Linked DNA regions of Caenorhabditis elegans. The protein of the gene in region 2 purifies or fractionates together with the protein of the main gene of each other region. This does not show direct contact. Each region holds a gene or a part of one and is shown on either strand. Other genes may lie near its edges.

Region 1 (7,957 bases), on a different chromosome or scaffold from region 2:
TCTTCCACCTCTTGTTGTACATCAATAGATGATGCTCGAGATCTCTGAAAATAATAATTTTGAAAAAAAATTATGTTTTGGGATCATACCGTCACACTTCTAGACTGTTTACTGGTACCAGCTTCATTAACCGCGGCATTTTTCTTTTTTGGGGTCTTCTGCTTGCTATCATCATCGATCGATTCGGAATTTGCTCTGGATCTAGCCGTTCGTTTGGAAGACCGTGTAGGTGTGGCTGGTTGTTCGATATCTGGAGAGGATGAACGATCTTCTTCATCTTCTTGATTTTCGAATATCGATTTAGGCTTGGTGCCACGCTGAAACGAAAACAAATCAATTTACAATTTATGAATACAACATTTTTAATTCAAAAAAATAATTAAAAATGCTTACAGCTTTACTTCCAACTTTAGGAGATCCTGCATCCTTTTTGGCGGGTCTTCCTCTTTTTGGCGTCGTCGGTGCCGATTTGTCGTCCTGATTAAAGTCGATCGTTTCCGAATTGCCCCTCTTTCTAGAAGTTGTACGTTTGGTAGAAGCAAGTGCAGATGACGATGGGTCAACAGTTGTATTTTTGACAGATGCAGAGCGAGTGCTTCTTGATGCAGGCCGTTCCTCCTCCGCTTCTTCTTCTTCTTCTTCTTGAACTTCCATTGTAACCTCTAGCGGGGATGGCATCTTTTGGATGATCGATTTTTTACCGCGCTGAAAATGTTCGAATAGTTGTATGATTAAACGATTAAACAACGTACAGTTACACTTCCAGCTCTACTAGAAGATGTACTAGCTGCAGCCTTTTTCGTGGGAGTTCTTCCGGTTTTTGGTGTCGATCTTCCATCATCTTCAGACGACTGCTTGCTAACAACCTCAGAAGTTGCCCGAGTCCGACGCCGAGTTGTCATCGCAACCGACGTCTCATCTGGTTCGGCAACAGTATCATTCCTAAGCGATGTGGAGCGAGTTCTTCGTGACGCTGAACGACTTGGAATTTCAGACTCCAAAACAGATTTATTTGCTGCCACTGTCTTCTGGGCTGATGCGGATCGAGTATTTCTCTGGAAATATTGAACTAAATTTTTAAAGAAATCACGAGAGACTTACTGATGGAGGTCTATCTTCCTCGATGAGTTCCTCTGGCTTCTGGTCTTTTACCTTTGATGAAGATTTTTGAACAGATGCCGACCGCGTATTTCTCTAGAAAAATACACATATAAATTTCAAATTTTAAAAACAACTCACGGATGGTGGTCTATCTTCTTCCGTGACTTCTCCTGATTCCGAAGTTTTCTCTTGGTTAGATGATTTTTGAACAGACGCAGAACGAGTGTTTCTCTGAAAACATAAATTTTATTTCTGTCTGTCAAATTGATGACGAAACTGACAGATGGAGGTCTTTCTTCCTCGACAAGTTCTTTCGGATCCCGGTCTTCCACTTGTGAAGTAGACTTCTGGACAGATGATGAGCGAGTGTTTCTCTGAAATATACAATTATTGCCGTTTTTCCTCAAATTTTATTTTATGGTATCTTACAGATGGTGGTCTATCTTCCTCAACAGCTTGTTCTTGAACTTTATCCGCGGTATCTTCATCACCTGTCGGAACTATGTCAGGCTCTTCCTGTAACTCTTCCTGCAGTTTAATAGACGATTCGAGAGATTCGTTTTGAGGCTCTTCCGGAATCACTGGCTGCATAACTTCAGGTTCTGGCTCTTCCTGTCGTTTTTCAGTTTTTTCAGGTTCTTTCGCATCTTGCTGAACTTCTTCAGATTCAACTACCTCTTCTTCATTCACTTCTTCAGATTTACTCTCCAAATCATCGGCTACATCAATCGTTGGTACAGCTTCACAATCCTCATCCATTTGAACCTCGAAAGATCTTTGAACTCCATCCCATATATCTTCATCTTCACCTTCCTCCTCAAGAATACCCGTTTTATCGGTTTGTAAATGACTCAAATATGTCTCATCGGTTGGTGGCATGACGTCATCATCTCGTACTTCAAACGTATCTTCCATGGGAGGAGTTTCCGAACCATTTTCTGTATTTGCAGCTTCTGGAGCAGATGTATCTTCGAGAACCTCGAAATCGTCTTGGTTTTCGAAAGTTTTCTCACTTTCAATGCATTCATCGTTTTCTTGTTCTTGATCTTTTACTTCTTCCATCTCATCCACTACATTTTTCTCTGAATCCTTCTCCTCGTCATGTTTTCCCATAGACCGTGATTTTCTAATAGTCATGGTTTCCTCTTCTTCATCTTCAAGAATTGCAAAGTTCAATGCAAGGCCTTTCCGACCATTGTCTTCAATACTCTCGTCAGCACCTCTTGGAACGTCAGCACGGAATCGGATACGGCCTCGACTAGCCGATTGGCCACCTTTAGCTGTTTTCAGAATACTGTTGTGAGCAGAGACTGGCGGCGGTCTGTTTCCAGCGGGCGATAGAAATCCATCTTGAACATTTTCCTCCTCATTATGTCGCTTGTAATACCGTGCCGGTGTTGCAATCATCATATTGATTTCTGCATTTTGGTGAGAATCCGGACTTGTGATACTGTTGATACTCGAATTGTTGGCAACAGATTCGACGGCACTCTTCCACTGTTGAATTCTCTTCGCGGTCTGTAAATTTCAGAATCTTGGTTTGTACTATTTAACTGCAATAATCTTACAGGTGGCACATATTGTGATGACGAAACACTACTCTCATCGTCTTCACCAAACTGACTTGATTTCCGCTTTCTTTCTGTTTTGTCATTGACAGAAGCGAAAACTTCAGGCATATCTTCGTCGTCGTTTTGCACCTTTCTCTCAAACATTTTCTTAACTGAAATTTCGATTTCCTGTTCTTTCGCAGTCTTCTGACGACCTCTTCCATCCTTCTTGATCATTCCTGGCAGGAAAGCCGATAGCAATTTGTTGGAACTAATCGCTTCTGATGACATTGCTTCAAACTTTTCGTTTTCAAAGAGAAACATTTGGTAGAGAATCTCAGATTCCGGATCGAGAACTGGCACTGGAAATTAAAAAAAATTAATTGGAAATGAGACTGAAAATCTATCTCACATCTAACTTTTCCACCTTCCATTTGCATTTTCATTCGTTGTTCAAATCGCTGTAAATCGTGTTTTCCGATTGTCACTGTCATCGGAGCATCTTTTCCCCACAATTTCTCATAACTAATCTCGTCATCTTTCATTGAGAATACTTTCTCTCCAAGTGCTCTCATATCATCCGATGTCTTGCTGCTTGTTAAAGCCTTCTTTCCTTGGTCCAGAATGTAATAAATTTTCTCCAAGTTAACGTTAAGCATTTGATTTGTCATGATTTTGATAGTTTCAAGTGCCAATTGTTTTTCGCTGTGTTCAGAATCTTCAGGAGATGTGGAAATCCAATCAATGACATATTGGACAACGAGTTCTCGTTTAATACTCTCAGAAATCGAAACATTCAGCAGGCATTCCAGCAAATCGAGAGGTGTTGGCGGATACCATTCGTCATGTGGAATATCGTTCCAGAATTGAGCATTTGGAGCTTGACGATTCATTTTTCGAACGACTGATTGAACGGGTAGAGATGATCTGAATAATTTAATCGTATAACTTTTTCTTAAAAAGGATTTTTCTAAACTCACGAGTTCTTTCTCGCCATATTTTTTCTCTTTGAATGTAAATCCTTCATTCTTTGCTGTCTGATCGGGTCTACAGGAATGATGGCAAAATTGATGAATTGGCTGGTAAGTTTCGTATGGTTTCTCATACATATCACAGAATGGGCCAAATTGCGAAGTCGATCATCTTTTAACGCTTTTGAACAGGCTTTCAGATATTCGTAAACAACTCGGAAAAGCTTGATTCCCTGTGCAATAGATTCTTCTGCTAGTGGAGAGAGAGCAAGTGATCTTCCCTGGAAGAGTGAAACCATCTTGTCAGAAATAGTTCTCTTGTAGTCAACAGCTTCGTGAAGTGCCCATTCTGCTAATTCCCGTTTTAGCGTGTCACTAATGTCAGGACGAGATGCCAATTGACAAAACTCTTCAATTTTTCCGTAGTAGACGATAACGTTGAGAAGAACCTTTTGATCAGACGATAATTGAAGTTCGTTTATTTCTGCGGCGCTCTGAAAACAATTTCATCAATTTAACTTTAAAAAATAAGCTCACCGAATTGGGAGATCCAGACAGAATATTTTTTCTCACTAAACCAGCTGCCATAACAACGCTGGAAATCATTTCGGGATTCCTGATGAGAGCAGGCAGTTTGACGGCGCATTTGTTCAAAATCTGAAAAAAAAACCGGAATAAAAACAATCTCAATGCCGATAAATTTACCGTGTCCTGGATGTTCTGGATCTTCATCCAGTCAATTCTGGTATTCTTGGCAACAAAAACCCTTTCGAAGCTTAATGCTGACGGATAAAACAGTTGATCTGCGTCTGAAACCATGCTAGAGAAGCTGGATACATCAGTGGCCTCATTTGTAAGAATTCCGATGTCATTTACATCTTCTGATCGGATGTTAGACTTTATAGTTGATAAGAATGCACATTGCTTGAGAACAGTTCCATCTGTAGATACTCGACCGGGAACTCTTTTGTAGTACCATGAATCTATATCAAAAATAGCTGCTTCCACAATGTATTCTGGTTCAGCATTCGGGTCTTCTGTGCCGATCACCATCTTCTTTCGTTCGTATGCCAAAAGAACAGAGTTTCGATTAGAAGTTGATCCGAATGTCTGAGAAACATTGTGCATCGAATCTTCCGTTCCTCGCTTTCTTGTGAGCATCATATGATCTCTTTCAGTAACAATAGGATTCACAGCCAACCATCTTTCTCCGAACAAAATCTTATGTTCTAGACAAACACTGAATGATGGACGGTCGTACTTTTCTTCTCCATCAACATCCTCGAGAGTTTTGAAAGATCCACGCCAAAGTTGAATCATGATTGGATGACGAGGTGAACAATCAACAGTGGCGATGAAATACTCAAATTTGTCGGGATCATCTTCTGGTTCTAATGGAGCAATTTTTCTGACAAGTCGTTCGTGTCTCAATTCCAAAAGCATCATCTGATTTGAAGGATTCAATGAAGCTGCCAGAATGCCTCCCATCGATAAACCGACAAGAAGAGTTCGACTTCTTGGCATCAACGATAACGCTGAGATATACACGGCGGCGGTTGGGTATTCACGATATGCTCCATCGTCCAAAGTGTACTGAAGAACTGAACCGCTGACGTAAGCATCTGAAACACACTAATCAAATTTGTTTAATCTTCGGGAAACTTACTCATTAGGTTGATCAAATACTTTTTCTCACTGTGAACTGTGATGACAGGACTTGACGGCGTCTCAACAGCAACTAAACGAGCTAAGTAGCATTGTGTCTCCTTGCAACCTGGAATGTAAATTTGCAAAGTTTTCATTCAAATTTGATTTATTACCAATTGCCACAATATGCTGCCACGTCATCAGTCGATGATAGAGCTTTAAAACTGTTCTCTGTGTTTCATCAGCCATGTCGGCAGACGAAAAAAGCGTCTTCACAACTGTAATTTTCGATGGAACTTCCAGTGAGTGTGTGATTGTCATGGCTGGTGAATCCGGATCAACTGCCAATGCAAGAACAAAGTGCTCGGCACCGCACGACTGACGAGGATCTTCAACACCAACAAGAATTCCGAGCTTTCCTTCTGTAAATAAAATATTTTGAAATCAATAAAGAAAATATGATAGTAATAAAAAACTTACCTTCTGTTGGAAAATAGTCCGCATCGATCAAAGCACATCCTTCAGGGAAAACGAACGAGTGAGTTACGCGTTCCCATTCGATATCGAATATTTGACACGTATTCTTTTTAAAATTCACAATGTAGGGAAGTTGACGACCTGAATGAATAGAATAATGTTGAATCGATAGAAATATGAAATACCAATTGAATCCTTCAAAATAATTTGCTTTTCTCCCCTCCAACACTCGTATCCTTGATATGATTTGAAAATGGACGAATTTTCATTATCCATTCTGAAAAAAAATAAACCTTTGCACATCGCAGCTAATAAATAACATTTAAAGAAGTGAGACAAAGAAATTATCAATTAAAATAAGTGGTTTTAGAAGTGCGTAGCTTAAAATAAGGGCTCGTCCGACTACATTCAAACGACCGGGAAAATTTGTTTTCACCAATACGCAAACACCGCAACGGAAACATACGGACTGCGAAAACAAGCGAAAATGGAAAATGCTTGCAAAGGTTAGAAGACGCAACGAAGAATGTAGAAATTGAATGGAATTCTTAAATGAAAAAAATCAATTTGAATGATTTAAATTGGAATATAATCCATATTACATCATTATCTTAAGAGAAGCACATACTTAAAATGACGTAAACCAACTTTTTAGCATTTTCAAATGACTTCTAAAAAATTAATGGAAACCCTTAAGAAACATACATTTTTTGGAGCAACGAGCGTAAAGACTGTTTTACTCAAGAAATGATAAAATGATAGGCGCATCGCGAAACCTTGTATTTTTTGAAGAAAAACCTTGTTTATTGAGTGAATAAAATTTGACTAATTGTAAAGGAACTTTTTACGAGAAATTCTTCGAAAACAAAATTAACCATCCGCGAAAAAAAAACAAACAAAAAGGAACCCAAAACAGGATGCAGGGGCGGGACCTATTCGCAGCCACCGCACACTTTTTTCGCAAGCCTCGCACGTTTTTTCTTTTGAAAAATGCAACAATATCATGGAAAAACGTGCGAGGCTTGCGAAAAAAGTGTGCGGTGGTTGCGAAATAGGCCCCGCCCCTACTCACGCGTGGCCACGTGGCACACGGCACACGTAGCGATTGAAATAAACAAATTATAACTTAAATTAGTTTGTGAAATCGGTTTCTCTCCGACACACGCGTCACTCAAAAATGCGTATTTTGCGTATTTTGTTTTCATTGGTAATCTTCGGATTAATAGTTCATGTATTGGTGAGTTGCCTAGACATCCTTCGATTTTTCTAGACCATAATGTTTCACCATTTTTCAGCCAACAACCACCACACCAAATGTGCCTGTTTCCGCCGCTACGAACACTTCAAACGTGACCGCTCCTGCCGGCAATTCGGCAAAAAGTCCTAATGCGACCGCTCCTGCCGGCAATCCGACGAAAAATGTAAACGTGACCGCTCCTGCCGCCAATACGACGCAGCTTGCTCTTGTGAGCTCGGCGAGCCCTCAAACCTGCAAAAATGGAAACGGCACACACTGCCCGTCATGTGCATACACGATCAATGTTCACAAGGACACGCCGAAGTACATCGGATATGGCATCCTGATCGCCTTCGTCATTTTCCACATTTTTTTGTATTTCTACCTCGAGGATCAGAAGGCGAGGGTAAGTGAAATTTTGCCAGTGGCCTAGCTTTTTATTGATTTAAGTTATATTTAATGAAAAGCGAATTGCGTACTACACGTGGACAACTTTCAACATACGAAACCTTCTTTTCAGGAGCAGAAGAAATATTTTGAGGAGCTCATCGCTGAGCAGATGGCGGCTAGGAAGCGAGAAGAACAAGACGATCAGCAGCACGAGGATGAGGAGAAGGAACGCCGAGAGCGGTTGGCTTATGGAATTGCCGCGAATCCGGTACGTTTTATTATCGATTTTTTTGCAACGTGGCCTAGAAAAAGCGAGAGCTCGGCCAAGATCTTTGAAGGTGGCCGAGTTTTCGCATTTCGCGGCCACGACGTAAAAACGGAATTATTAGCATTGAAAGAGAATTGAAAAAACGCAGTTTTAAATTTCAGTATGTGGTAGCAGAGAGCAAGACTCCCAATGGAAACGTCACAAAAGTGATGGAGAAACGACGATCCGCGGTGGCCCCGCCCATCACACCAGCCCTCGGAGCAGGCTCGACCAACGGACCATACGAGAGTCGGACCAAGACCGCTCAAAAGGAAGA
Region 2 (4,817 bases):
AAAATTGCTTAAAATCTAAATATTTCAGGTAATCATTTACTATATATAAAGCGCTTATTCCGTTTGTCCATAGTTTGTAGTCTATGTAGTCTTTGTATTCTGTGACGTTTTGGCTTCTGGAGGATAGTGAGTTGGGCTTAGTGTAGGGATATAGTCGGGGTACTGTAGTGGTACAATAGTGGTACGGTAGGAGTACTGTATGATTACGGTAGTTTCAGAAAAATTAGTTTTCAGCCCCAGAAGTCGGGGGCTGCGCCGAAGGTGCGGTCCACGGCTGGTTTACAATAAATTTTTATTTTTTTAAGTGAAAAATTGCTTTTAAAAAAAGTGATTTTTTATGTAAATTGCAAGAAAAATATTTTTTAGAAGAACAAATGCTGAAAATCTGGATTTTTGGGTGAATTTCTAAAAAAATTGATTTTTCGTGAAAAAAAAAAGGGTGAATTAGTTTTTTTCCATAAAAAAATGCTGAAAATTGAAACCTTTCGGGTTATTTTGAAGAAAATTGTATTCTTTTTTTGTGAAAAATCGCTGAAAATCGGGGTTTTTTGGGTGAATTTTCATAAAAATTAGATTTTTTTTCGATGAAAAATAGCTGAAAATCGGGGCTTTTCGGGATAATTTCAGGAAAATATTTTATTTTTTGAGTGAAAAAAATTAGAAGACGATTTTTTATAAAAATTGCAAGAAAAATGATTTTTAGTATTTAGGAAAAATGCTAAAATTCTGGATTTTTGGGATAATTATTTGTTTTGTGTTTAGGTGAAAATTGCTATCAATCGAGATTTTTTGTGTAAATTGCAAGAAATCTACTTTTTTCTACTTTTTTTGGTGAAAAATCACTGAAAATTTGAATTTTTTGAATAATTAGCAAGAAAATGATTTTTTAAATGAAAAATAGCTAAAAATCGTGATTTTTTAAAAATGTAATTAGCAAAAATCATTCTTAAAGGAAGAAAAATCACTGAAAATCCCGATTTTTTGGATGAATTTCCATGAAAATCTCATTTTTTTGCTAAATTTTCCAAAATCCATACGCGATATCGAACCAAACATCAACATCAATTTGCTGCTCGACTTTATTCGTTTCTTCCGGCTCTTTTTGCAAATTTTCAATGAACAATTCCTTCATTTCCATAATTCTTTCTCTGGATTTCGACGATTTCCACGGCAATTTTCCATGTGTCCAATCGTAGAGCACATAGAGCATCATTTCCATCATATCCAATTCAGTCATTCGATGAGATTGATCTCGATCGACAAAAGAGCGCGGCGCGTAGATCAAATCTCCGGTTTTCCAATGCAAATCTATAGATTCGGCTGTTCTGAGATGAATCTCGTCGATGGCACGGTGACGTTTGTCAGAGGAGACGGTGATCTGCAAATTTTTGGAATTTTAGTATGAGAAAAATCGATTTTTAACGAGAATCTGGGGTTTTAAATGCATAAATTGTTTATTTTAAGAGTCTGAAACCGAAATTTCTTCCAAGAAATCAAAAATTTGATTAATAAAAAAATAAAATCGAAAAAATAAACTCGAATTTCGACTGAAAATTGCGATTTTTAGTTTTTTTCAGTAGAAATTGTTTTTTTTTGACGAAGTATATGTTTTTAATAATTTTTCTAAAGAAACTCGCTGTTTTGCGGAGTTTTTGAAACCAACAATGTTGATTTTCAGACGATTCTGGGACTTTTATTCATTTTTCCCAAAAATTTCAAATTTTTATGGGGTTATTCAAGTAATGTAGCAAAATGTATTTAAATACATTTGTGACGTCACAAATGTATTTAAATACATGTTTTTATCTACTTGAATAAGGTTGTGACGTAATTTTTCTACACTTTTTAATTTTCCGACACTACTTGAATAACCCCATTAGGTAAAAATTGCTGGAAATTGAGATTTTTCGGGCAAATTTCAAGAAAAATAACTGAAAATTGGTTTTTTGTGGATTTACCGAGAAAATACGTTTTTTATGTGAAAACATTGCTAAAAATCACAGATTTTTGTATAATACGAAGAAAATACGCTTTTTCGGTGAAAATTGCTGAAAATTTAGATTTTTCGGGCGAATTTCAGGAAAATTACTGAAAATCGGGGTTTCTTGTTGTATAAATCCAAAAAATTAAGTTTTTTATGTGAAAACATTGCTAAAAATCGGCGATTTTTGTACAATTCCAAGAAAATACGCTTTTCAGGTGAAAAAATGCTGGAAATCGAGATTTTTTAGGTGAATTTTTAAGAAAATTGGTTTTTTCGTGTAATTCCGAAAAAATGCGTTTTCTAGGTGAAAAGTTGCTGAAAATCGCGATTTTTCTTGCAATTTTTTAGTGGAAATTGTTATTTTAAAAGCGGAAACATAGTCCGTACATCAGTAGCATCGGCCAAATAAAACTGCCTCGTTTTGATATCCAACATCCATTGTTTCGAGTCGAAATTTCTCAAAACCCATCCGGAAGCTGACAGAATTTCGATAGCAGAAATCATGTCGACAGCGAGGAAACTGGCAGTAGTTACGGACATTTTATCACTGCTCAGACATTTTAAAAGATCATGTAAAGTGGGTCCTGCACGGATTCTGACGACCATGAAGAAGACGTGATTATTTATGATTCCGGCATCAATTAAAGCGGAAAATCGATGAGAATAGCCAAGTGACGATTGCTGATGATAGAAATCTACTTGATTCGCGATGGTTGTCACGTTGTCCTCGCCGATTTCCAAGTAAAGAATCCCCTGAAAATTCGAATAATAATTTTTTTTTTACTTTTTTTTTTTTTAAATTTAATTTTTTTTAATAACTCACAAATTTCTTGCACGGCTTGTCACACACAAGATAACAATACGCGGCTCCTCGTTTCTCCTTTTTCTCCAAAATAATCCATTTACCATTAAAAAGCTTTTGCTCCTTCAGACCTGCCAAGTCCTCATCGGTGAATCGATGCTCAATGTTTTCTAAATCGTGTCCTTTGCGATTTCTGTTCATTTTTTACCTGAAAAGTTGATAAACTCACAAGAAAAATGGTGAAAAACAAGTAAATTTAGGCAGGAAAAACGAAAATTTAAATATTTAAATTTAAAATTCGCTGCCATCGAGAAAAGCGCAAGCAACACGAGAAACGCGCTAGCAGTGGTAGCTGACGCAACTTTCGTTATTGACGATTAATTTCAAAAACATGTTTTAAAACAATTAAAAATGATTTATTTTGAGGAAAAAACACACAAAAAAAATGCTTTTGAAGAAAAAAACATAAAAATTAAGAGCTTTCCTCGGTCAAACTGGAGAAAGAAGCCACCAAATTGGCGTTTTCATCTAAAATCTGCCGTTTCTTCCCAGTTTTCTTCAACAACATTTCAAGCTCTTCCAGCATCTTCTTCTGCTCCTGCTCCATTCGTTTCTCCTCTTCAACACGTTCGCCAAGCGATTTGCGTTGCTCTTTGAGCATTTCCACAACTTTTTCGATTTCAGCGCTTTTATCATTCCAATATTCGCATTTCTCCTCCTCTCTGTCACAATCCAGCTTCAAATCTTTGAGTTGTTGCTGAAAATGTTTCAATATTGCTTTAAACATTTTCAGATTTATTAATAAAAACCTTGTGCAAGTGGCGACGATAGTCGATTTCCTCCCGCATTCTCTGAACAATCACTCGCTTTTCCGCGAGTAAATCCAGACTTTCTTGAATTTCAGCAGAAAGTGTCGCGGATATTTCCATCGTTGTGCCCATCTTAGCCTTTTTCAGCTTCACCTGAACAAAAAATTGCATATAATATTAGTTTTCGCCATATCTTACGCGCATGGTCTCGTCACGCGGACAAAAGGTTACTTTTCATTGTGATAATTCACGGGTCGCTATTACAAAAACACTAAATGCTGAGAATGCGTATTATGCAACATATCTGACGGGCAAAGTATCTCGTAGCGAAAACTACAGTAATTCTTTAAATGACTACTGTAGCACGGATGTCGATTTACGGGCTTTTTTTTATTTTCGGAAACATTTCTCGGAAAATTCGGAAGTTTTTTTTGATTTTCAGAATCGGACCAGCGCTACAGTAGTCATTTAACGAATTACTGTAGTTTTCGCTACGGGATATTTTGCGCGTCAGATACGTTGCGCAATACCCATTCTCAAAATTTAGTGGTTCTTTTTATAGGTTAGTGCCCGTAAATCGACACGAGTTACAGTACCTCGTTCACAGCGTGGTGAGACCCACATAATTTTTTGACGACTATGTAATACCTCATTCATCATCTCCGACAAATGCTGAGCCCAGGCGGTGACGCGACACGAGATGTCCGATTCGCGACGTCTCGCCTTATCCACGCGATCCCAAAGTTCGGTGACCTGCGACTGAACGACATCGATCCGATTGCTCAGTTGCAGCTTCTTCTCCATTTCCAGCTCGAGCTTGTGCTCCAGAAGGCGACAACATTCGTCGACATCGTGCTCGTATTCGGCGACCGATTCGCTCTGAAAAAAAATCACTTGAACTTTTTCCGAATAGAAATTTCGCGCGGAACCCACCGTAATCGACGTTGTCAGGGTCAACTTCTCGCGAATCACTTTGATATCCATTTATCGATTGATTTTTCGGAGAAAAATATTCGGAAATAAATTCAAATGTCGAATAGGTTCCACATTTGCCACGAGAAATTTGAATTCTATGGAATATTTTAAAATCAAAATTTTGAATGTTCACGCTGGTAATTAATTGATTTAATAAAAGTATAAAACTTGATTTTCAAGCTCTCTGATCCGTGTACTCCCCGAGGAGAAGTTTTTTTTTGGAAAAATTCTGGCTCTGCTCCTATGA

The links. Proteins that work in one complex are often made in the same cells at the same time.
Region 1: the proteins of prde-1 (region 2) and mel-28 purify together in Caenorhabditis elegans (affinity purification with mass spectrometry, with the first as the bait; one study listed by BioGRID). This does not show direct contact.

What each region holds. Positions count from the first base shown.
Region 1 is NC_003281.10:4,784,146-4,792,102, reverse strand, and holds the start of mel-28 (Protein mel-28), read right to left. Parts: upstream 6,024-7,957; 5' UTR 6,023-6,023; coding exon 5,932-6,022; intron 5,888-5,931; coding exon 5,750-5,887; intron 5,692-5,749; coding exon 5,443-5,691; intron 5,397-5,442; coding exon 5,289-5,396; intron 5,245-5,288; coding exon 4,328-5,244; intron 4,280-4,327; coding exon 4,160-4,279; intron 4,117-4,159; coding exon 3,632-4,116; intron 3,579-3,631; coding exon 3,064-3,578; intron 3,014-3,063; coding exon 2,670-3,013; intron 2,620-2,669; coding exon 1,531-2,619; intron 1,476-1,530; coding exon 1,383-1,475; intron 1,333-1,382; coding exon 1,240-1,332; intron 1,195-1,239; coding exon 1,102-1,194; intron 1,056-1,101; coding exon 753-1,055; intron 706-752; coding exon 394-705; intron 318-393; coding exon 90-317; intron 45-89; coding exon 1-44. Other genes in the region: enu-3.2 (ENhancer of Uncoordination), read left to right, coding at 6,924-6,983, 7,042-7,389, 7,504-7,641, 7,803-7,957. UniProt on the Caenorhabditis elegans protein: Nuclear envelope protein which has essential roles in assembly of nuclear pore complexes and in chromatin maintenance during the cell cycle. Appears to be a stable structural component of the nuclear envelope during interphase.
Region 2 is NC_003283.11:15,536,428-15,541,244, reverse strand, and holds the start of prde-1 (piRNA biogenesis factor prde-1), read right to left. Parts: upstream 3,002-4,817; 5' UTR 2,988-3,001; coding exon 2,808-2,987; intron 2,738-2,807; coding exon 2,372-2,737; intron 1,379-2,371; coding exon 1,038-1,378; intron 1-1,037. Other genes in the region: F21A3.4 (Trichohyalin-like), read right to left, coding at 3,259-3,543, 3,596-3,748, 4,244-4,474, 4,529-4,579. UniProt on the Caenorhabditis elegans protein: Nuclear factor required for the production of piwi-interacting RNA (piRNA) precursors. Specifically required for piRNAs produced from loci associated with the Ruby motif. Promotes binding of the transcription factor snpc-4 at piRNA genomic clusters.